Linked DNA regions of Alligator mississippiensis. The protein of the gene in region 1 purifies or fractionates together with the protein of each later gene. This does not show direct contact. Links are inferred from orthologs where the notes say so. Each region holds a gene or a part of one and is shown on either strand. Other genes may lie near its edges.

Region 1 (7,518 bases):
GGGTGCAGGCTGCGCCCAGTGCCAGTCTGTCATCTAGCAGGCAGATCGGGAGCCTGCACTCCTTGGAGGACTCCGGCACAGCCCCCGCAGCCCTTCCAGGGGTGTGGGTAAGCCCCCGATCTGCCTGCCAGATGAGGAGCCAGGTGCTGCTGCTTGGGAGTGGCGGCAGCAGCGATCTCCTCAGCACTGGTCTCAGGCAGCGCACCAATCTTCTCTCATCTGGCAGGCAGATCAGGGGCCACACCCCTGGGAGGTCTCCGGCACAGCCCCGGCAGCACTCTCAGGGGTGCAGGCGAGCCCACGATTTGCCTGCCTGCTGCATTTTATGTTTCCCCATAACCTATGGGCAAAACATCAAAACAGTGTTGAAACAGCAAAACACTTTTGACGAAACGAAACGGAACAGTGCTTTCGAAACAAAACTAAACGAAACTCGAAACGAAACACTGTTCCGCTGAATTGTCAAAATGGAAGTCGAATTGGAACGGTGCTGTTTTACACAGCCCTACTATGTAGAGCTGTAAGCAGCAGCCCAAGGGAAGGAACTGCCCGTTGGCACCAGAGACACTGGGTCAGCATCTGGAAAGGGGCCTTTTTTTCACCTGGCTTGAAGTGCTGAAACCACACACTTAAAAAAACAGAGTTTAAATTCTGCAAAGGGAGTCATCGGCCTCCTCACCAAGCAGTTTTTCTTCTTGCCAACATCAAGTGTAGCTTTAAAGTTCAGCTTATAGGGCATTTATACACGCATCTTTACCTGCTCCAACATGCCAGAAATCCAGTGTGTCCGAGAAGACTCAGTTAATCAAGTCTGTGGAGCACACAATCTGATGTGCCCGGCGTTACATCGCCTACATTTGTATAAAGGGTGAAATGCGCATCAGTGCTAAGAAAATGGCGGCGGTGCACTTTTGAACTAAAACACCTTCGATTCATTTTAGTTCAAAAGTGCACTGCTGCCATTTTCTCAGCGCTGATGCACTTTTCATCATTTATACAAATGCATGCGATGCAGCACCAGGCACTTTTAAAAAGCACCTGACACTCTTGTTCCATGTATGTGTACAAATGCCTATAGATCTTATCCAATGAGATTCTGAATTTATTCAGAAAGTCTGATCAGCTGGGTTTTCCCCAGACTTTTCAGGAAGATTTAAGGAACAACCCCTTTGCAAGGATTTCATCATTTATTTGTAGGGCCACAGGGACTGATTTAGCTGAGGATGTGACAGAATGAAGAAACCCATTACTGTATAAGGCACTGGCTACCAACTTCTCTGAAAAAATTCTCCACCCCCATTTTTCACTATTTCAAAGAGGTGAAGGTTTGGGGGTTTTTTTTTAATGTTGTACTACTAGAAGGAGAGATTTTCTGTAGATTGCCTTCCTGGCCTGCTCTGTTTTCCATTCTCACTGTCACATTGTAACAGACCAGCATACAGAGAACCCTACAGCCAAGTGCTTCTCTGGTTCCCACCATGGAAAACACTGGGTGGCATAATTTAGGAGGGCAGAACCAAGATAGCTAGAGGGAAAAAGTCTGATTGGCTGCTTTTGAGCTTCCTCCCTAGGACCAGTGACACTGACGCAGGTTCAGAATTGCCTCACTGATTGGGAAATACCCAGCTGGAGGAACTATATTGCCCACTACAAGTTATAGGTATTTTTGCAAAGTAAAGTGGCCACATCCTATGCACCAGAATAGAACATCTTTTTATACCAAAAATGAATGCATCCCACTAATTCTTTTGAGATCAATGGCCACTGTTTCAGTGGGAGCCCCTTGCTATGTCAGTTACCTTTGAATAAAGATTATAGCTATGTGATAAGGGGCAATTCTGACATTGCCACTATCTGGCAGGTGTTCCTCTTCTCTTCTAGAATGAGATCTACTGTAAAGTAATAAGGCAACGCAATCTAGACTGATGTGTCAATGATGCCTTTAGTCAGATTTGAAGCCTGACTCATCAGCTCAGAGAACTGAAGCTGACAACACGGCTCCCCCGGCCAAGAACATTTAAGAGGAAGACTACCAAAAATTGCCACATGAGCTATAAACAAGCATGTTTGCACTGTGTGCACAGATTGTATCACCAATATATTCCAAGCAAGTCCTGATTAAATAGGCAAATGTACTATAAGTTCCTTCAGTTACTGAAGGCAATATGTTGTAGAAAGAGATCTAGCACTGCCTGCATGCCTGCAGCAAGAAACAAAATACATTAATCTCAGGCGTTTTTAAATATTCCTGTCCCATTTATGCAGAAAGAACAATTAAAAAATAATAATTTGTTAAAGTAACCTGGTTTCAGGAAAATATTCTTAGAAAACAAACACACAAATATAAGATGTAGGTGTAAGTGATTCACCTGTATGTATAAAACAGTTATTACATAATCATTAATTAGATGCTCTTCCACAGGTGACTAATAAGTAATTTACTTTGGAAGAGACTGTGTCTGCTCTGCACCTGAGGAGTCAGAAACACTTTTGCGAGGCAGGGGGGGCCGCCTCTCCCTTTGGAGGGAAGAGACTTGACGGCACAAGACAGGAGGTTGCTGCCCCCCCCCCCGCCATGAACGGAAGAGGAGCAGCCCAGCGCGGGCATCGCGGCCCGGCAGACGCTCCCCGGCCGCAGGCTCCCGCCGCCCGTGCTGGCCGGTCACGGCGGGCTCACACCTCGGACTTCGCTCTGGCATTTTATGGTCGCGGCACCCCGCGTCGACCCGCTGCGCCCCCCGGCGGAGGTGCCCGAGGTGCCCCCTGGCGGACCGGCCCCGGCCCCGGCCCCGGCCCCGGCCCGCGCAGTCCCTGCGGATTTTTAAATCCACCCGCCCAAAGCAGCGCCGCTCCCGGGCTCCAGCCAACCAGGGCCGGGCCGGGCCGGGCCAGGGCTCCCCGCGGCGGCCCCTGTCCGGGCCGGAGCCAGCTCCTGGGGCAGACGCACCCGACCGCCCGGGCCCCTCGCAGCGAGCCCGGCCAGGGCCCCGCGTCCCGCTCTCACCGTCCGCTCTCATGCCTGCCCCGCGCCGAGCGCCCCGCGACCCGAGTGGGCAGCAGCCGGTGCAGACTGAGCAGGCGGCCGGAGCCGAGGGCGGAGACCGGCCAGGGGCGGGGCCAGACCGGGCCACGCCCCCAGCACCGGGCCACGCCCCTCAGCCCCAGCTCGGGTCGGGCAGAGAGCGAGGCGAGCTCCGCCCAGGCCCCGACCCGGCCCCTGCTCCGCCGCCAGAACCCCGCCCCCTCCGCTTGCAGAGCGGCCCAAGCCACGCCCATCCACCGCGCGCACTTTTTTTCAAACCCAGCAGCCGTCCTGATTGGCTGCAAGGCCGGCGGGGCAGGCGGAGCGGCCTCGGCTCCGCCTCCTCCCCTCTGTCATTGGGCGCTCAGGATGCGAATTCGAATTGGGGCGGTTAGCGGCGCGCGCCGCTCGCGGGCTCTGGGGCCGAGGGGAGGCGCATGCGAAATGGCCCCGTCCTCCCCTGGGGGTGTGGGAGCGGGGTGAGCGCGGCCTGGCGAGGCTGTCTCGGGCCTTTCGTGCATCCTCTGTGCTGTCTATGGAAGGGCTCGGGCGCCTCATGGGGGGCCCTTGCAGGCAGAGCTGGGTGCGGAGGCGCTCGGAACTCGCAGGCCCCTGTCGCTCCGGCCACCTCAAGCTGCAGAGCACGAGTGGCCGCAGCCCTGCCAGTGCCCCACGCCCCCCGTGTGAGGCACATGCCCCGATTTGTGGGCACGGGCAGGAGCTGCCGCCACAGCCCAGCGCCTGGGACCCAGCGTGGGAGGGCGGAGCAGGGCGACAAGACTCGCGGCTGCCGCCACCACCACAGGGCCCCCGCGCCGCCAGCAGTGCTGGGCTCTGCTCCACCACCATGGCCTGGCTGCTGCCGCCGTCGCCACCACTGCCCTCCTGCCTCCTGCACTGCCTGCCGCCCACCGCCTCCAGGGTAGGGCCGCGGCCTGCAGGGGGCGGCAGCACTGGCTGCGCCATGCAACAGGGTAGAGGTGGGGGCAGCACAGCCCCCACCCATTACTCCTCATGCTGCTGGTGGCACGACTGGCGCTGGGGTCCTGGTGGCAGCAGCAACAAGCCTCGCTCCGCTCTCCTGCGTGCTGCGTCGCACGTCTGTGCTGGTCTGGTCTGGCCAGGCCAGGCTGCAGCCCCGTGCCTGCTGCGGATGCCCAAATCTGGGGGGACACATTGCCCCCCATAGACTTACCTGTGGGGAACTACAGGAGCTGCTTTCCAAGCTGCCTGGCTGCCACATGCATGTGTTGCCCCTTGCAAGCCGGCAGCTTGCAGGCTAACACTTTTCCACATTTTTCTCCTTTAAAGGAAAAAAACACGATTTTCCACATTTTTATGAGATTGTTTGAGACCTTTCATATATTTTTGGGCTGCACCCCATGGGTTGAAAAATGCTGCTCTAGACCATCCTATGTTTTCATCCCCCCCTCCCTCTGGCTCGGCAGGTATGCACAGCTGGAAAAGGGGTTAAGAGGAGGTGCTGGGAACTAGTGACTTCCGTGCCAAGTGGCACCAGCCTTCACCTCTAGTATTAGGGACCTCCGAATAGAGCTTCGATGTCAACAGCGTATGGGGAAAAGTTGCTTAAGATTTTAGACTGGGAGGCAGAAGGGGAAAGATAATAGCTGAAGAAGTCCAGGGAAACAGAAAGAAAAAGAACCAAAGTCTATAGCAGAAGAGTTAAAAAGTAATGTCTTCAGGATTAGGGAAAGGAGGACAAAGCACATGGGATGTTGGGAAAGGAAAGAAAAGGACAAATGAAACAGCCTTAGGAGGAAGTAACAGAGGTGCTCAGGAGAGAGAGAGAGAATGAAGATGCATCTTGAGGAAAATGGATAGGAGAGCAAGTCTGCTTCTGCAGAAGGGGCTGTACTTGTCATCCCTTGAAGATATTAGTGGGTTTTTAACAAGTTTGTGCACAAAGAAGACAACAGAAAGAAAAGCTCTTTGCAGGGTAGAGTAGTTCTCTGGAGACCATAAGCTGAGAGAGACTTTTCTTGTCCTTAGGTATGAGGACATAGCTCATACTGGTTGATACTCTCTTCTTGCTAGTATGTTAAATGATAGTAGGGTTTTCCATATCCTTGTGTGTGTGTTTACAGTATTGCTGCTGCTTTTATGTTTCTTATTTACTAGGTGGTCTAAGACAGTAGGAGATGATTATAGTAAAGGAGAGACAATATTTATATGAGCTCATGAAAATTAGCTAGGGAAACTTGGAAAGTAATAATAAAGGCATTTGCTTTGTACATTGTACACTTAATCTCAGGTGTTCCAAAATCTAACAAAAGAAATGTGTGCTCAATGTTTTTTTGTGGTTTTTTTTTTTTATTCTAGTACCCTGCTCTGTCCTCATATCCATCCCCACCAGAGGGGGTCACAACACCTAAGCCAGTCATGCACCCATTCTCTGAAGGGGATTATGTCCCAGTACAGCTGTTTCTGTCCATTTTATATAATATAAAGCTATATAAGCTATAATATCCCAGCACTTTTGTCTTTTCATATAAAATTAAACCAAAACATTCAATATGTAGCAATATTTTGTGTTTTTTAATTTCAAGGTGAACAAAGTAAATCTCAAAGCCACTTTCTTCTAACTCCTATCACTTAAAAATTATTTGTGTTTGCTCCTAAACTGAAAGGTGCATAGTAATGACTACACTTCTGCCTCTGCAACGGAATGGTGACTTCTGCTTACTCAAGAGAATTGTCAAAGCACATCTGGGTCTCTTATGCACAGGACAGCCAGTCACACAAGTCCTGCAATGTGAAAAGGGATTGTAAAAAGCTTTCATGCAGGTACAAGTTGTCTAATTAGCAAATTCTTTTTTTATTAATTATTCTGATGCTAGTAAAAAGTTGTAGATTGATAACTAGGATCTCTTATTTCCAAAGCTGGAGGGATCAAATATCCTACATTGCCTTTTCAGTGCATCTCAGCTGCAACTTTCCGATTAGGGAGGGGTTCCCCTCCCCCGCAACAGCCCAGCAGGGAGTTGATAACACAGTGTTTATCACCCCTCAGTGTTTATTAATAACAGCCTCTCATTAGTTCAAGCTCTTCTTAAACAACTTTTTCCAAGGAGGGACATTACCAGCTACCTGTTGATTAGCTCCCAAAAGCCCTAAGCTGACACTGTGCTGTCTGCCTTTGTCCTGTCTCCTGCAGCACAGACCATAGCCAGCATGTGGTATGCTAGCTAATGCTGAGAGGTGTCCGCATAAGACAGAGGGGAGGGGGGATCCCTGCTTGAGCAGGGGGTGAGGGGGAAGGGGAGAGCACGAGGGAGCAAGGCAGACCCCACTGTACCTGCAGTCTTTGCCAGAGCTGCAGCCAGGGAGCACAGGGGAGGAGCTAGCCTAGCTCTCTGGAGCAGAGAGCCCCACCCAGCCAAGTAAGCATGCCTGGATGCTAGGGGATTCTGATTTACCTTAAACCAGGATGGGGTCTGGGACAGATATTGCATAGACCAGTTTGGCCCAAATCAGTTAAGTCTGATACTACATTCAGCCAGATTTATCTCAAACCAGTTTCAGCCATTTTCAAACTGGTTAATGTGCACTGAACATCTCTTCTGTTACAGGTTTAAACCAGTTTCTGATCACTTAAACTGGTTTATCTGTAATGTCTGTCCCAGGGGTTGGAGGTCCTGCTCATCTTAACTAGGAACCTGGACTAGTGATGCTCAATCAGGGTGCCACGGCATCCTTTTAGGAGTGCTCTGTGGGGGCCCATGCAATTTTAGTATTGTTAGGATTCAAAAAATAAACCCAGAAGTTTCAAAAGGGAATTCATAGTGTCAAAACCATTCTGACCTGTTGTGGTCTGAAATCTTTTCAACAGAAGAATTGTTGATACTAGTTGAGAAGCTATTGTTACAGAGTTGAGAAATAAGTGAAAGCTAAGAGCTGGCATTTTTTGAGGGGTGCTTGAATCTAAAATAGTTGAGAAACACTAAAGCTAGACTGAGACTGCGAAATTCACCAACCGTCAGATAATAAATATATGCATTGCTTGCTTTTCTCTGAGGAACTCGGATACCGTGTCATTAATATTTTTCTCTCACAGATAGTGAAACTGAGATAGAGTAGCTAGATAACTTGTCTAAGGTCACACAGGAAGTCTGTGGCAGTGTTGAGACTAAGACTGAGGTTTGCAACCCTTCACTTCCTTGCTATCACCATTAGACTAAGGAGTCCCCAAACTTTTAAAGTGCAAATTTTAAGAGATTGTCATGGGGGTATTCTATGTTATCTCAATTTTGATCACACAAATTTGCTTCCCCTGTCACTTGTGGCTACATAATGTCTCTGTAGCACATAGAACAATTACTCATGTGAAAAAGTAATATTGGGAATGTTGTCCATGTTAATTTTAGCTTCTTTTCATGAGAAATGTTGTCCCTTTTGAAAAAAGTTGATCACGCTAGCTGCTTTTACTCTTCATCTCCCCCCTCACATCTGTTCTGTTTTTATAAATCATTTCAGCC
Region 2 (7,736 bases), on another chromosome or scaffold:
CAAAAGTGACAGTTACCACCATAAGCAGTAATGCAGTAACCTTTTACCAATGAGCAATCACTCTCCTAAGTAGAGGCAACCAACTACTGGGAACAGCCCTTACATTACTCTACAGTGATTCCCAAATGTCCTCCTTCAAAACACCATAGGTTACTTAGACACCTGCTTATAGACACTCACAGAAAGAAAAAAATAATTGGGAATCCTCAGCTCCAACTTTAAGCCATTAAAAAGAAAAACCTCACTCACCTCCATAGCTACAAAGGCCTATAAGAGGAGGGCCTGCTATGAATTCAAGGGGACAGCATGTGAAAATTAACCCAAGATAAAAGAATCATAGCCAAATAAAACAGAAGAGGGGCTGTAAGAACTGGAACTGTTTAGTCTGGAGAAGACAATTTGGTAAGTCTTCAAAGAAAAAAAAGGGTTGGTATAGGGTGGGCAAAATGTGGCCTGTGGGCCAGATGCAACCTGCCAGGCTGTTCTATCCGGCCCGTGGGGCCCATAAAAAATTTAGAAAATTAATATTAATCTGCCCTGGGCTGCCTGTCATGTGATCCTCAGTGGCTTGCCAAAACTGAGTAAGCAGCCTTCTGCCCAAAATAATTGCCCGCCCCTGGTATAGAGACAGTGGTGGGCAGCTATTTTTCAATATGGGATAGGACAAGAAACACTGATCTTAAACTGTAAGAGAAATTTAGATTGGATGTTAGGGAGAACTTTCTAGTTATAAGGGTGGTTAAGTACTGGAGCAGATTACCTAGGGAAACTGTGGAAATCTTTATCAGTGGAAGATTTTAAATGCAGTTTAGACAAACACCTAGCTGGGATGGTTCAGACAGGGATGATGACAGGGAACCTCAAGCAGGAGGTTAGGCTAGCTGCCCTTATGAGGTCCTTTCCAACCCTATTTTTCTAAGATACAGAAAACAGATATAACATAACATCCCTGATCTCTCCCTTCTCTCACTCCTTAAAATAGGAAGAAAAGTAGTTCTTCCATATTCTATCTTAGTATCAATAGTCACAACAGTTTAACATCACGTTGTAACTAGTATAACCTCTCACTTAAGGCTGTTTGTGTTAGCATTGATGTGAATATTTTGTTCCTCCCCTTTCTGGTACTCTGCTGTTCATTACAGCAGTGATTCTCGACTTTCTCAGACTCATTTCCCTTTGGAAAATGCCATCTCTTAGTTTCTGCTCATTTTTGAGTACAGAAAAATAATAAAGCAATTCTTCTGCTGTGAAGAACATATCAGGATGTTTCTCACACTATGGATTCCTACTTGAAATCTCTGCATTTATCTAGCAAACCAGGTTTGCACAACTAACCATGCTAATATGAAGCAGCATGCCACAACACCCCTAAAAGGATCTCATGGCACCCCAGGGAGCCACACCACCATGGTTGAAAATTACTGCTCTACAGTATAGTTTCCTATGCTTGTCCAGTCCAGGTTTTCGTGGTGCTTCCATTTTAACCCTAGAAGATGACTCTATCAAGAGAAGCTACCACCGATAGTACCCAATATTTGGCCCACTATTAAAAAGAATAATCAAAATGATCTTTTCATCATTCAATTACGGCCTCTGTAGAACTATCCTGAAGGCTGGTAACCTACGGTCTGCAGAGGGGTTGAGTCCAGCTAAGGGCAACAGCAGCATTCAGCTGCACTGTGCCACCCATGCTCTCTGCAGCCCTCCCTATGGCTCTCTTGCACCCGTACTTACTCCCACCACACGGTTTGCCCATCCCACTGCCGTGGAGATAGGGATCGGAAGCTGAAGTAAACGTAAGCAACTTTGGTGCTTCTCAGGAACACAGATTTGCAGCCTGTGATGTAGGCAGCGTAGCAAACAGCAGCCCACAGCAGCAAAAGGTTGCACTATACCATTTCCACGGTGGGAGGACAACACCTGGACTACACGATACCCAGCTAGTTGCCCTTGTGAAGAATGCCAACACCATACCAGGCTGCATTAGCAGATCGAGGGAAGTGAGCCTTCCCCCCTATTTGGCACAAGTGAGGCCACATCTGGAGTACTGTGGCCAGTGTTGCACCCCCATTACAGAAATGATGTGGACAAACTGGAGAGAGTCCAGCAGAGGGCAATGAAAACCATTTGGGGGCTGGGGCATGTGACTTCTGAGGAGAGGCAGAGGGACTGCACTTGTTCAGTCTAGAGAAGAGACCAAGAGGGGACTTAGTAGCAGCTTTCAACCACTTGAAGAGAGTTCCAAAGAGGATGGAGCTGGACTGTTCTCAGTGGTGGCAGATGACAGAAGAAGGAGCAACTGTCTCAAGTTGCAACAAGGGAAGTTTGTTGGATATTAGGAAAACGCTCTCTCAGGGGGAGGGTAGTAAAGCACTGGAACAGGTTGCCCAGAGGAAGCGCAATCACTGTCCTTGGAGGTTCTTAAGCCCTGGCTAGACAAAGCCTTGGCCAAGATAAGACAGTTGGGGCTGGTCCTTCTCCAAGCAGGACGCTGGACTAGATGTGGCCTCCTTAGCTCCCTCCCAACCCTCGTTTTCTAGGGCTCGAGGCAGGCACCGGGGGCAGGGCGCGCCCGACAGTGACAGGCAGCTGCATGTGCGGAGGCGGACGGGGGCGGCACAGCACGGCAGCCTGGTTACCAAGGAGACAGAAGGGCCTGGGGGCTGCACCCCACCCCTACCAGCGGCCCCGCCCGCCAGCAGCAGCGCCACTCCGCCGCAGCACGCGCCGCCAGGACCCCGCGGGTGGGCCTCTCCAACTCCACGTGGGACGATCCCGCCTCGCCCATTGGCCCGGCGCTGCGCCAATCCGCCCGCAAGCCCCGCCCCAGCTGCTCCTGTGGAGCCGGAGCCGGAGCCGGGCCCGCGCGGAATAAGCGCCTTCCCACCCCCGCCCGCTGGCCCCTGCTGCAGTCAGGCAATCGGCCCCGCGGGTTCCGCCGTCCCGCCAGGCCGAGGCTGCCGTAGCTTCACCTTCTTCACTTCGAAGCGTTTCTTGCCGGCGCCGCTGTTAGTGCCGCTCGGGGTATCAACATCCATTGCCGCCGCCATTTTGAGTGCGTGACTTGGTGGCGCGCATGCGCGGCGTCACGGACGGGAAGTCACGTGGCCACGTCCCTGTTCTGCTCGCCCCGCCCCGCCCGTAAACAGGTGTATGGGGCAGGGCAGGCAGACCACGTGACTTAAAGGCGTTGGCCAGGGCGGAGCCCCATAGCCGGCGCCCCCTCCCCCCACCCAGCACGGGGGTTGCACAACCTGGGCCTGCACTTAAAGGCGCAGGCACCCAACTACCGCTGACGCAGCTCGTGGGCCTGTCCTGTCCCGCCCCCCCGCGCGGCTTGGTTCGCACGCGAGCGCCCCGGGGCGCAGCGCGGGCTGTTCCCTCGGAGCAGCAGCGGCTTCTCGTTGCTGCGGGCCAGCGAAGCTCCGCGCCCCCGCTGCCAGCACCGGTCTGGGCGTAGCCTCACACAAGCAGCCGCGGGTGCTACAGCGGCTCTCAGGCCTGGTAGCCTCAGGCCGGGCTTCAAGGCAGCCCCGTATGAAGCGGCAGCTCGGGGCGTTCACTCGCGGTTGTTTTTTTTACCCCGGCCAAAAAAAGGCAACAAATAGAACAAGCCGCCCCCAGGGCCGCCTGTCCTGCGCAGAACACCGGGCTCCCCGAGCCGCCCGCGGCGCTCTGCGGCCCTGCTTGAAGCGGCGGGGCGGGCGGGAGCCCTGGCGCCACTCTGCCCCGCCCCGCCCTTGATTCCTGCTCCCCCAGAGGTCACAGCCAAGCGCAGGGGCCGCTGCGGGCAGGCCGCGCTGAGGGACGATCTTGCCTCGGGCAGGGGTTGGGCTCTAAGACCTGTGGAGGCCCCACCCCGCCCCGCTCCTCTATGACACAGGCCGCAGTGTCTTGTTGGGTGGTGCCAAAAGCACCCGCAACCCTGACTGGAAAGATGCCGGCTGCCAGGGGCAGACAGTAGAGGAGCTGCGGGGGACCCGATCCCTGTTACGGCAACACAGACCAGCCCCTGCCCATCGGCCTCTCCGCCTGCCGAGCAAAATGCCTTCATGTGCCCCGCTGTCACCCGTGCTGCGGGTTGCCCACCCCTGCCAGGGCCCTGATCCCTTGTGACCTCTCCGTTCCCCCCTGCCGATCCCCTGCTGTCCTGGCTCCACTGCTCCAGCTCTCCTTCCTCCTGGGCCTCCCCCCTGCTCCCCGTCGGGCAGCACCTGTTCTGCAGCCCTGCAGCCTGTTTTACCTCTAGCTAGAAACGCTAACTTGGGCGTGGACATATTAACTAGCATGAACATTAGGCTTAGGCATAGACGTGGCTTTCAGTGCAGCCTGGGAGGCACTGTCCAGGTGCTCAGGAAGGCTTGATTTTGCTTCATGAGTCTGAAGAGAGAGGCACACCTTTAATGACTCCAGGACTAACAAGACAACATATTTGGATTATTTTTTGCCCAGTTTGTTGGGGTTTTACCCATAATATAGGATATAGAAAACACACATTCCAATGAAGTTTTTTTTTCTTCAGTCTTGAATAATATAGCAGTAGGCCCCTACTTATTAATGAAGCTCCTAGTTTCTTTTTTAACTGGAGAAAAACATGTTGTTTCATATGTGATGGCGATGCGGACCCACACCATCTGTATCTCCCTTTTCAAAATTCTAGCTCTGTCCATAGACACCCTTGAAAGCATCTCGGCAGCATGGCACCTAGCTGAGAATCACCAGTGTAGGCACGTCCTGAGTGGCAACGTCAAGAACACTTTGACTTGGGGAATGCAACTTAGGGGTTCTCTGATCTTTATGTAGAACAGTGGTGCCGGATCTGGTCCCACAGGCCAGATGAGTGGTGCAGGGGTCAGTCCACAGGTCAACTCCCACGCAGGAAGCAACACATGGAGTCAGTCTGCAGGTGTAATCCTCCATGGCATAATCTTCCACCTGGGGCACAAGTTTCCAAACACTTCGCAGCTCTGCTCTGGCACTTACATATGCTCCTGCTGAGTACTATGCACCAGTATGGGGCCAGAGCATGCACACTAAGTTACTGGATTCCAGCCTTCACAGCGCATGAGGACCATTACCAACAAGGGCCTTATGCCAACTCCAGGTGACTGCTTACCAACCCTCTCGGGTTGGTCTAATAAAAGATATCAAATTCACCCAAGGAACCTTGTCTACCAACCCTCTCAAGCATTCCCTCCCCTAACATCTGGAGGCAAGCTGCTACCCTGGTTCTAGGCCTCAAAGCCCAAGATCTAGGCCACTCTGCACTCCAGCCCAGTAGCTGCAAGCGAGAAAACCAACTACTACCTGAAGCCTTGGAACTGGTTCTCCACTCAGTCCAATAAGATCATTGAATCTGCAGATGGCATGTCACCTACAGAATGGACCTCCTATCAGTGGAGTAGGCAATATGCTGCACATGAACGCTGTGTGCTCCCTGAGGCTGGTGGGGCACGGCAACTGCCTGCAGGCAGTGTCAGCGGCACGGTGTCGGGGAGCAGAAAACTCCTGCAGGCAGCTGTGGTGGTGCTGGCAGTGAAGGCAGGCCAAATGGGAAGCTCCCACAGGCAGCCACAGCGGTGTCAGCGACAAGGGTGGTGGGGTGGTGAGTGGTAATTGCCCGCAGGCACTGTTGGCAGTGTCAGCAGTGCTTTTCGCTTGGGGTGCACCACCAATCTTAGGAAGTGCACGTGCACACATGTGTACCACCTATGCATCGCCAATGATGCTGCACAAAAACTGAAGCTAAAGAACTTCATCCCCAATACCAGCTTCTACCCCTCAGGATGGCGGCTGCCCCACAGGGCCTGAACTGCTCTTAACCATCTCAGAAGGGGCACTGGACAGTTTAAGGCGAGCATGCACTCTTGGGGCCTCTCCAACAAGGCTAGCTGCAGCTGTGGGGCTCAAGCTCAGATAGCCAACAACACCATCTATGAATGCCCTTATGGCCCTCCTTCGGGTGCCCACGGTCTTACTGACATTGACCACTCTACCTGCTTCTAGCTTTCTGGTCCCCATGCTTCTGACATATGAGTGTGGTGACACTTGCTTCATCAGCAGCAGCATCGTCATTATCCTCCATAATGGCTCAACCCACACACCAGATCTGCCCACATGCCAACCCAATCATGCTAGACCTGGCTGCAGAGTGATCCTGCATACTGATCTGACCACATGCTGGCACAATCTGGTACACAGGTTTGCATTACCCAGCCTGTGGGGCTCCCCATGGTACTAGACATTTGTCAGTAGGAAGCAGCAATTAACATTGCCACTGCTCCACCACTGCTAAATTTCCAGACCTATGGGAAGCCTCACGGGCCAGATGACATGGCTCTGCAGGCCAAATCTGGCCTGTGGGCCAGAGGTTGAGAAACACTGATATAGGGTGTCTTTGGCCTAGGTCCAGGTACGTAGGCAGCTACTATAACTGGCAGAGTTAGGCCTGGTGCTGAAATAGTAACTGAGAATTTTCTTTTTTATATTTCAAATTCTCAAAATGTAATCACATATGGAATAAAAAGGTCCTTTTTAATTACCTAATTGTAGATAATGTTCACTTTGGCCCAAAGACTCAATATGAGAAATACCAAAACCAAAAGACTTAGTGTGTTTAATAAAAAGTTGAGATCTTTAATCAGGAGCACAAGCCACATCTCTTAAGTCTGGTTTCATTTTATTGACTAGATCATACTGCCTTCCTGCACCTAACATTTCATCAGAGACCAGGCCTTTTGGTGAATCCACAGAGACTCTTCCTACAGTGACTTATTCCCTTCCAAACCTTTGATTCCATATAGATGCAAGGAGTAGGGTGCAGAAGCAGGGAGCTTTTATCTCTCTCATCTTGGGAAATATGTCAAATAAGTTCTTGACTTTGGAACAACGAAAACTTAGGCTATCACCTTTCCACAAAAAATCCAGTCAGGTTTTATTGGACACCCACTGCATATTACAATGTGGTGTTTGGAAGCGTTTAATCAGTTATAAGTTGTCGTGGAAACACACGCAGCATACTTTTGGGTCAGGTCAGCAGAAGCTTTTATTCAAAAGAAACTACAGCTGTAGGGGGAGTTCCAAAGTGACATGGATTTCCCAAGCACTTGGAAGGGGTCCCCCCCCCAGAGCAAAATCAGGAGGCTTATATACTTTTTAACAGTTGCTTACAACTCACGTGATCATATAGTGAAATTAGCATGAAAAGCGGCTATAATATTACTTCATTATTTTTTTGCTGTAATCAGGATGGGAACTAATGGGGGAGGCGAGATTAGTTCACAAACCTCCTTGCACCTGGAAATTAACTTTGTATATACTTTTCTTTTGTTACCTTCAAGGCCACGGTGAGCAAAGCAGTTGCAGAGGAGTTACAAAGAACAAACACTTGCCCTTATCTGTTCTACTGTACAGAGCCAGCAATTCTACACAAAGCGGTTATGTCATCTTATAACTAAAATAATCAAAGTTTAAGGCATATATTTTTTCTGATTCCACAAAGTGAACATCCAGTTAGAGGTAAATAATACAGGGACGGTAACGGTCACACTAAATGGGAGTTTTGCCATTGTTTTCAATATAACTAGTGTTCAAAAGCTACATTTTCTTCTGTTTAAAATTAAATGCATACGTATACTTTACAGAATCAGGGTCTAAGTCTACAGGTTATAAAAACTACCAAGATAAGTCATCATAATTGCAAGAAAATGCCTTATTTGATTTATGAGCATTAACAC
Region 3 (8,212 bases), about 16 Mb from region 1:
CCTAATGTTGATTAAGCATCAGTTGTCTGGTTTCCAGAGATGCTGTGCACCTGTTGCCCTGAGAATTTAAAGGGGCATACGGATGTGTGGCACCTTAAAAAGGAAACCAGACCAAGAGATTGAATTCAGCTCTCCCTCCAGGCAAGGTGACCTCTCTCTAGAAATTAGATTTATTATTGGATGATATTGGGAATCCCAAAGCTCATGGGAATTAGAAAATGAATCATTCTGTGGTTTGGTCATGGATAGCATGGGTGGAATAGTGTGGGGAAGCACAAGTACAATAATGTAGAAGCAGAATTGTTCTCACCAGGACAGGGGGTGCAACCCTCTGGTTTAGGTTACATAAGTGGAGTAACATAGATAAGGTGCCCTACAGACTTGTCTTTCCACTTGTCCTGTTAACACAGTGACAGGGAGTCCTTTACAGCCCTCCTAATGATTGCTTTACATGACGTCCTGTTCATATATATCTTGAAGTGAAAACGGATTGCATTACAGATGTCTCTGACATACGTGACTTGCAACTAATGTGGCTGTCTTTTGTGATTGATGGACTGAATAAGTTTATCATTTTATTCTGATATTTTTATAATAATGTACAGAAATGTGGAATGGCAATTATCCAGACACATAAAGTGTGATTGATTAAAACTGTAGAAAGGCTATTAATTTATAGTTTTACAGTATTATCACTGCAAAGTATAAAATGTGAGAGTTTAATGTATCTAGAAGGCTATACCCTGGAAAACAGAAAATTGCTATCGTTAATGGAGCCATGCCATGTGGGAACAGTAGTGTTCTTGACAGCCATTGTTCTGCCCCTTCATGTGGTTCATTTACATCCAGCATTTTCTAATGGAAGGAGAAGGGAGAGGTGGAACTCAACACTGTAATGCAGTCAGCAATCCTTTCTACGATGGCTGCATGGAAAACTCTGGATTGAAAGGGTCAGGCAAACTGCCAGGGAGACCTACTCAGTATGCACCTTGAATCTGGAGCTGGTCTGTAATTTTTAAATGAAGGAAGAAAAAGCGTAAAGAAAGGGAAAAAAATCAAGACAAGCCACCTCCCAGTAAACACTAGCTGTGGAAGGATAATACCAGAACTATTAACTGATTTTGCTTCCTTTCCAGTCTGCCTACAAACGAGTTTTGGCCAAGTCAGGGAAAAAGAACTGTTTATTAACTGGAAGACTGTCCCACTCTCATCCTTTCTAAGCACTGGAGGCAACTGAAGATCTCTCAGGAGTTGATATATCAAGAGAGGGCTATGCTCAACATTTCCTTTCTTATGAAATAGTATCTAATCTAGTTGAGATTTGTGTGAGAGCTGTTTTGGAGGACATGAGAACAGCCCGTTTGACCTGTGCAGTTGCCGCACTACCAGTAACTAATCACACTCACCTTCAGAATGAAAGGTGGTATATGGAAACCAATTCTTATTTTATGAACACACCTTTGCACAGCGCATTTATCAACACCAGACCCCAATCTGCCAACCTTCATGTAAGAATTGTGACGGTTTAAGTATGCTGTCAATCTAATGTGTAGGATCTTCTTTCCCTGGACTGCAATGAAATGACATATGGAAATGGACATTAGACAGGGGCTGTGAGAGCAGCTTTGGCTCTCTGGAGAGGCTCAGCCCCAAATATGAGCTGCTGTCTTACCACACAAAGCACAGCCTGTCATTAAGACATTTGTCACATGAACTGACACTTCAACTCAGTTTTGCACAGTTATCTGCACTGCATCAATCCAAAAAACTCCCCCAATCCTAAAAACTTTTTGTAACAGTCAAAGAAGCCTGTTACCTTCTGCAAGCTGCATAAGTTTATTCACTTTGTTCTTCTTCCTGTTCCCAGCAAAAGGCCTCATTAGTCTTGCCTCCTTTGATGCGCCCTTCCCTCCCTTTCACATGATTTGAGCTCCTGCCAGCTTTGTCAGAGAGAACGCATAGGGAAAAATGTTCTTCTATTAAATCACAAAATGAAGAAGTATCTTGTGGGAAGAGGGCAGATGCAGCCAGGCAATCTGAGAATAAGGGCAGCTGGAATGTGGCAGTAGCAACCTAAGAAATAGAGCAGTGACTAGGACACTTAGTATGGTTGTGGGGTGGGGGACGGGACACAGATGACACAACCATCTTTTAGTTATAATACTCTGCAGCTCTCTAGCTCCTTTCTTGGTTGTGGATTGCAAAAGGATTTCACAGATATTTATGAGTTAAGCCTCAACATATTTGTTGGATGTAAATAGCATTACCCCCCTTTTATAAGTGGGTAAACTAAAGAAATGGCAAAAAGGCAAGCTAAACAATACTACCAAAGCAATACCGTGAATTTGCATCAGAGATGGGAATAAAATCCAGGAGCTTCAGGTTCAAGTCCCCAGCTCCAGTCACCAGCCAGTATGTCAACATGGATTAAAGGGGTGTTATTGGGTCAGATATGATCTAGAATTTAGATTTTGCAATTATGCATGATTTCTTTCTCAGGCTGTGGTAAACAAACTCCAGGCTAGATGGATGTTGGTTATGTTCCCTTAGGAATCCACAGGAGCTTAGTCATTCCCTGAAGGAAGAGTTCTTCTAGACTGAGGAACTCAATTAGCTGAGCTCAGTGTTTTCAAAGATTTTCTACATCTCACAAGACCTGCAGAAAATTGGGTTTTTACCCGTAACAAACAGTAGCTAAGCTAACATATATTTGCAGGAGTTGCTAATTAAAAAATAAAACAAAACCCTAAACATCAAATACATTCCCCTGCAATGACCAGGACAAACATGTTAAGATATAGGAATGCACAGTTAAGACCCTTAAATATCCTTAATCCAGTCATCACAAGCTCATGAAATAGCCACAGTTACTACTGAAGCATTTCAGGATATGTGATCCTAGGCTACATTTAAATATTTGTTAAATACACATTAGTTTTTTTCCTTCAGAGCATCACTACAGGCAGCAGATAGTTTTCTGTGTGGTTACAGTCCCTGTTGAGACTCCAGGGGGAAAAGATACGAAAAAACCTTTGTGATCAAGAGTCAGTTGCTTTGAATCTGGGGCCACAACACTAATATGTCCATTGCATCACTACTGAGCAGTATTTTGCAAGAAGGCACCATTTGTTTTTCTGGCTTTGGGAAACTGAGCACAGACCAAGTTCCCCTTGTTGAGTGCCTCTCTTGTTTCTTACCCTATGTTAGCATTAAAATCACCAGTGTTACAATAAATACTCTTCTGGGGAGTGATTACGGCAGCCCCACAATGGTTCTACCTTTAAATCATGTACACACATTTTCAACTTTACCATTGCTTTGGGTTGGGAAAGGTGGATGTCTACCCATAATAATGCCCACCCCATGTAGGAAGACTCCAAGCTTCTGTGCGCTTGACAAACATTGCTTTTTTTATTTTAAAAAAGCTTTCAGTCTTCACATACTTCACAAAGAAGTAAACACTGGAATCCCCTAGGAATCTTGTGTTGGGACCGGTGCTGTTTAATATACTCATAAATGATTTGGAAAAGGAAGTGAGTAGGCAGGTGGCCAAATTTGCAGATGACACAAAATCATTCAAAGTGGTAAAGACCAAGGCAGACCATGAGGAACCACAGAAGGATCTGACACTATTGAGCAAATGGGCAACTAATTGGCAGGTGCAATTCGACGTAGATAAGTGTGAAGTGATGCATCTGGGCAAAAATAGCCCAAACCATACCTGCACTATGCTGGGCTCCACATGAGCTGTTACCACACAGGAAAGAGATGTGGGAGTGATCGTGGGCAGTTTGCTAAAAACATCAGCTCAGTGCTCGGCAGCTGTCAAAAAGCAAACAAAACATTAGGAATGATTAAAAACGGAATTATAAACAAAACAGAAAGTATCATTATGTTCCTTTTTAAATCCATGGTGCGGCCACATTTTGAATACTGTACCCAGTTCCGGTTCTCGCGCCTCCAAAACATAGAAGAACTAGAGAAGGGCAACCAGGATAATAACAGTATGGAGGGGTTTCCATGCAAGGAGAGTAAAAAGGCAAGGCCTAGTCATCTTACAAAGGAGATGCTTGAGGTGGGACATGATAAGGGTTTACAAGGAGATGCTTGAGGCAGGACATGATAAGGGTTTACAATACACTAAATGGCAAAGAGAAAGCAAATAGGGATTTATTATTGACCATCTCTCACAATACAAGAACTAAGGGTCACAAAATGAAATGAGTAGGTGCCAAGTTTTAACCAAACATGGCATTGGTGATGCGTAGGGAGTGCATGCAGGTGCATGTGCACCCCGAGATTGGCCATGCACCCCTGGAAGTGCCAGCCACAAAACCGGAGGTGCTGGCAGAAGCGCACTTTTGGGTTTGCGGGTGTCGCTGCTCCAAGCAATTATTACTGAGTGGGGATGCAAGGGGCAGGGCCTCTGAATCAGAGGTCCCTAGACTAGGGTGGGCAAAATGCGGCCCATGGGCCACATGCAACCCACCAGGCCATTATATTCGGCCCACGGAGCCCCTGAAAGTTTAGAAATGTTATATTTATCTGTCCCCGGCTGCCTCTTACATGGTTCTCAATGGCTTGCCAAAACCCTCCGCACAAAATAATTGTCCGCCCCTACCCTAGACCTTAAATGCTGGAGGCTGCAAGCAAGAGGAAGAGAGGGGAAACCCCCCTGGACAAATGAAGACACCAGAGGGATGCAGGAAAGTCACAGGTTTAAAACAAGGGGGCACCGCCACGGCCCGACCCAGGCACGTGCAGCCCCACGTCCACGCAGCTGCCTTGGAGGCAGGCACTGAATGGGAGGTGCCACCTCCCCGCGGGAACAGCGCGGCCACGCCCCCTGCGGAGCCACGGACAAAGCCCCGCCCCCACCTTCTCTGCCAACCCCCCCAACCTACGCATGCGCGTTGGCGGCGGAGTGGGCCGTACCACTTGGTGCCCCGTGGTAGGGGCGGCGGGAGGGAGGGCTTGCCCCGCTGCTGCTTAGGAAGGCTCGGTTCCGCCTGAGGAACATTTAAGTTTTGAGCGAGGCCTGTGTTACCCCGTCCCACGCAGGCCCGGGGCTCTGCAGCGTGCTGCTTGCCCCCTCGGTGGGAATGGTTCAGCCCGGGGCCGGGCCCCACGAGTGAGAAGCGCCCGCGCCGCCATTTTGTCGGCAGCGGCAGGAGGCGCTTTCAGCCCCTCAGCGCGGACCCTACACCCCACACCCACCCCGCCGCTCAAGCCCCGCACCGGTGAGCACGGCGCGGGGGGCCGGTCCCTGCGCGCGGGCCGGGGCAGGTAGGCCCCGAGACTCGCGGAGCGCGAGCGGCCCGGGATGGGGCCTAGCAACTGGGCCCAGTGCGGCGGCGGGGGGGGAAGGGCACCTAGCTGGTCACGTGGTCTCGCCTTCCCCCCCCCCCCCCCGGCCTTGGAATGGTCCGGTCCCTGCTCCCCTCCAGTTCTCCCCCGCCCGAGTGGTCTCGTCCTGCTCCTCCTTCCCCCGCCCCGCCCCCGCAGCTGCGGAGTTGTGACCTCTCCTGCAGCTCGGCCCCCGGGCCGCACCTGTGACAGCCCAGGGTACTGCAGGGCACCCGGGCATCAGACCCTCTGAGCAGTTGGGGGGAGGTGGAGGGATGCTTTTGGGGGCCACTGCACACTTCCCCGGGTCTCGGCACAACGTCAGTGGTGCATGAAGCATGACAAAGAACATGGGGGTTGTTACTAGTGCCTTAGAACATAAGTATTTGGGATGTCCTGCGGCAAAATGCACCGTGTTGAAACAAATAGGACTGTAAATGCTACCCTAAGTAGAAATTGCTTACCTCTGTGTGTGTCTTTTTTTTTTTTTTTCAATCCATTAGTATCCTCCAGCGAAGATGTCTGAGTACATCCGAGTCACCGAAGACGAGAATGACGAGCCCATTGAGATCCCCTCGGAGGATGATGGCACCGTCTTGCTGTCGACGGTCACCGCCCAGTTCCCAGGAGCGTGTGGCTTGCGTTACAGGAACCCGGTGTCTCAGTGTATGAGGGGAGTCCGGCTGGTGGAAGGAATCCTGCATGCCCCAGAGGCTGGCTGGGGAAATCTAGTCTATGTCGTTAATTATCCCAAAGGTTTGTTGTCTGCGTTCCTGAACTTACCTGTCAGTTGTGGCTGCATTGCAGAGTGATTGTTGCTCTTTTAGGTCCTCTGACATGTGGGGTTATATTTAACCCTAAAGGTACTTGGAACAACCAAACATTGTACCCATGTTTGTAAAGGGTTTCAAATCTTTTGGGGAACTTCTAAAGCCCCCAGTCCTATAATAATCTCTGTGCGGTGGCAGATGTTTGGCCACGTGACAGTCATACCAAGATTGGAGGCAGACATCGTTGTTATTGGGAGAGGGTAGGGCAAGACGAAGATGAAAAGGAAAGAAAATGAACTAAGGAGAATGTTTTTTGGTTTGGATTGAGCTGTCTTGTCTCAGCTGGTATCTGTCGCTTACATATATCAGGCAGGCATGTGAATATCATTGAGCAGTTCTGCAGTAGAAAGTAGCTGAACTTGTGATATAACTGAGGGTTTAAGCCTTTAACTTCTCTGCCCCTGCCCCGAGATTATGGAACAGTCTGAATTATAACATGTAGACAAGAAATGCCATATGTCCCTTTTACAGTTTAAATTTCCTACAACAGGTGCTTTCTTTTACAAAGGATCCTTGTATTGTGCTGCTTATGACTGGTGATACAGTTTGAGGATAATTTTTTATGCATGTTTTAATTTCAGATAACAAGAGAAAAATGGATGAAACAGATGCGTCATCAGCAGTGAAAGTGAAACGAGCAGTGCAGAAGACTTCTGATTTGATAGTTTTGGGCCTTCCTTGGAAAACCACTGAACAGGATCTAAAGGAATATTTCAGCACTTTTGGAGAAGTTCTGATGGTGCAGGTAGAGTTCTGCTATACTTTCTCAAGGAGAGTGCCATGGACTCCCACTTACAAAACTTTCTGAATGAGTCAGTAGTATATTAGTACAGGAGAGCCTCACCATTTGCGGGGGATATGTTCTTGAGATCCCTGTGAATGGGGAAATTTGCGAATACGTTCATGAACATCTGCATTCGTGAATGGTGTGCACTGGCGGGAGCCTGGTGGTGGCAAGCACACACCTTCCACAGATGCTGCTGCTGCCATAACGCTATAAGGGAGAGAGCATGGGTTTGAATATTTGAAACTGAATCTGCAAATAGTGAGGGTTTCCTGTAATTGTGATAAAATCTAATTTGCAGTGTGCTGTGCTTTTCTTGGCTGCATTGTCGTGCTCAGATAGAACAATCCCTTTTCTGCAGCTCTGTTCTTGTCTAGAGTAGTGCACATGAGATCCAGAAAAAGTCTGTTTTGTTTTGCTTCTGCATGTTAGTTTGTTGTTAAGTAGCTTCGTTACTTTAAAGACTTGTGTTTTATAGTTCTTGTCTGAGCGTTAAGTTTAGCTTTGTCTGAGGTATTAAAACAATTCCCTACTGAACCCCGTTGTTTTTTGCAATGGTAACTTACGCATTCTGATTTCATGGGTATAATGTCTGTAGGTGGGGGGGGTTTCCCTGCCTTTATTCCTGTCTGTGCTAGGGATTATTTCATAAGGCAATGAATGGCATAAGGCCGCAGCTGGAATACTGCATCCAATTCTGGGCTCCACAATTCAAAAAGGATGTCGAGAAGCTTGAGAAAGTCCAGAGGAGAGCCATGTGCATGATCAGAGGGCAAGAGAATAGGCCCTGTGAAGAGAGGCTGAGAGCCATGGGACTCTTCAGTCTGGAAAAGCGCAGGCTCAGGGGGGACCTGGTGGCCACCTATAAGTACACAAGGGGTGGTCATCAGGATCTGGGAGAATGTCTGTTCACCAGAGCACCCCAAGGAAAAACAAGGACCAACGGTCATAAACTCCTACGAGACCGTTTTAGGCTGGACGTAAGAAAACATTTCTTTACTGTCCGAGCCCCCAAGACCTGGAATAGACTCCGTCTAGATGTGGTGCAGGCACCTACTCTGGACGTATTCAAGAACTGCTTGGATGCTTATCTCGCTGGGGTCCTTTGACCCTAGCTGACTTCCTGCCCCTGGGGCAGGAGGCTGGACTTGATCTTCGAGGTCCCTTCCAGCGCTAAGCTATCTATATTGAGCTAAGTAATCAAAACTTCACATTGCACTCTTTCAGCAAGTAGTATTTCTTTTTGATCAGA

Evidence for each region.
Region 2: the proteins of CCNF (region 1) and RBX1 purify together in Homo sapiens (affinity purification with western blotting, with the first as the bait; 4 studies listed by BioGRID). This does not show direct contact. The link is inferred for Alligator mississippiensis from reciprocal best matches to the Homo sapiens genes CCNF and RBX1.
Region 3: the proteins of CCNF (region 1) and TARDBP purify together in Homo sapiens (affinity purification with western blotting; 3 studies listed by BioGRID, with this or other methods). This does not show direct contact. The link is inferred for Alligator mississippiensis from reciprocal best matches to the Homo sapiens genes CCNF and TARDBP.

What each region holds. Positions count from the first base shown.
Region 1 is NC_081836.1:27,360,355-27,367,872, forward strand, and holds the start of CCNF (cyclin-F), read right to left. Parts: upstream 3,112-7,518; 5' UTR 3,018-3,111; coding exon 3,005-3,017; intron 1-3,004. UniProt on the Homo sapiens protein: Substrate recognition component of a SCF (SKP1-CUL1-F-box protein) E3 ubiquitin-protein ligase complex which mediates the ubiquitination and subsequent proteasomal degradation of target proteins.
Region 2 is NC_081827.1:97,703,473-97,711,208, forward strand, and holds the start of RBX1 (E3 ubiquitin-protein ligase RBX1), read right to left. Parts: upstream 3,083-7,736; 5' UTR 3,051-3,082; coding exon 2,973-3,050; intron 1-2,972. UniProt on the Homo sapiens protein: E3 ubiquitin ligase component of multiple cullin-RING-based E3 ubiquitin-protein ligase (CRLs) complexes which mediate the ubiquitination and subsequent proteasomal degradation of target proteins, including proteins involved in cell cycle progression, signal transduction, transcription and transcription-coupled nucleotide excision repair.
Region 3 is NC_081836.1:11,855,411-11,863,622, forward strand, and holds the start of TARDBP (TAR DNA-binding protein 43), read left to right. Parts: upstream 1-5,130; 5' UTR 5,131-5,240; exon of another isoform or gene 5,241-5,286; intron 5,287-5,849; 5' UTR 5,850-5,864; coding exon 5,865-6,102; intron 6,103-6,757; coding exon 6,758-6,921; intron 6,922-8,212. UniProt on the Homo sapiens protein: RNA-binding protein that is involved in various steps of RNA biogenesis and processing.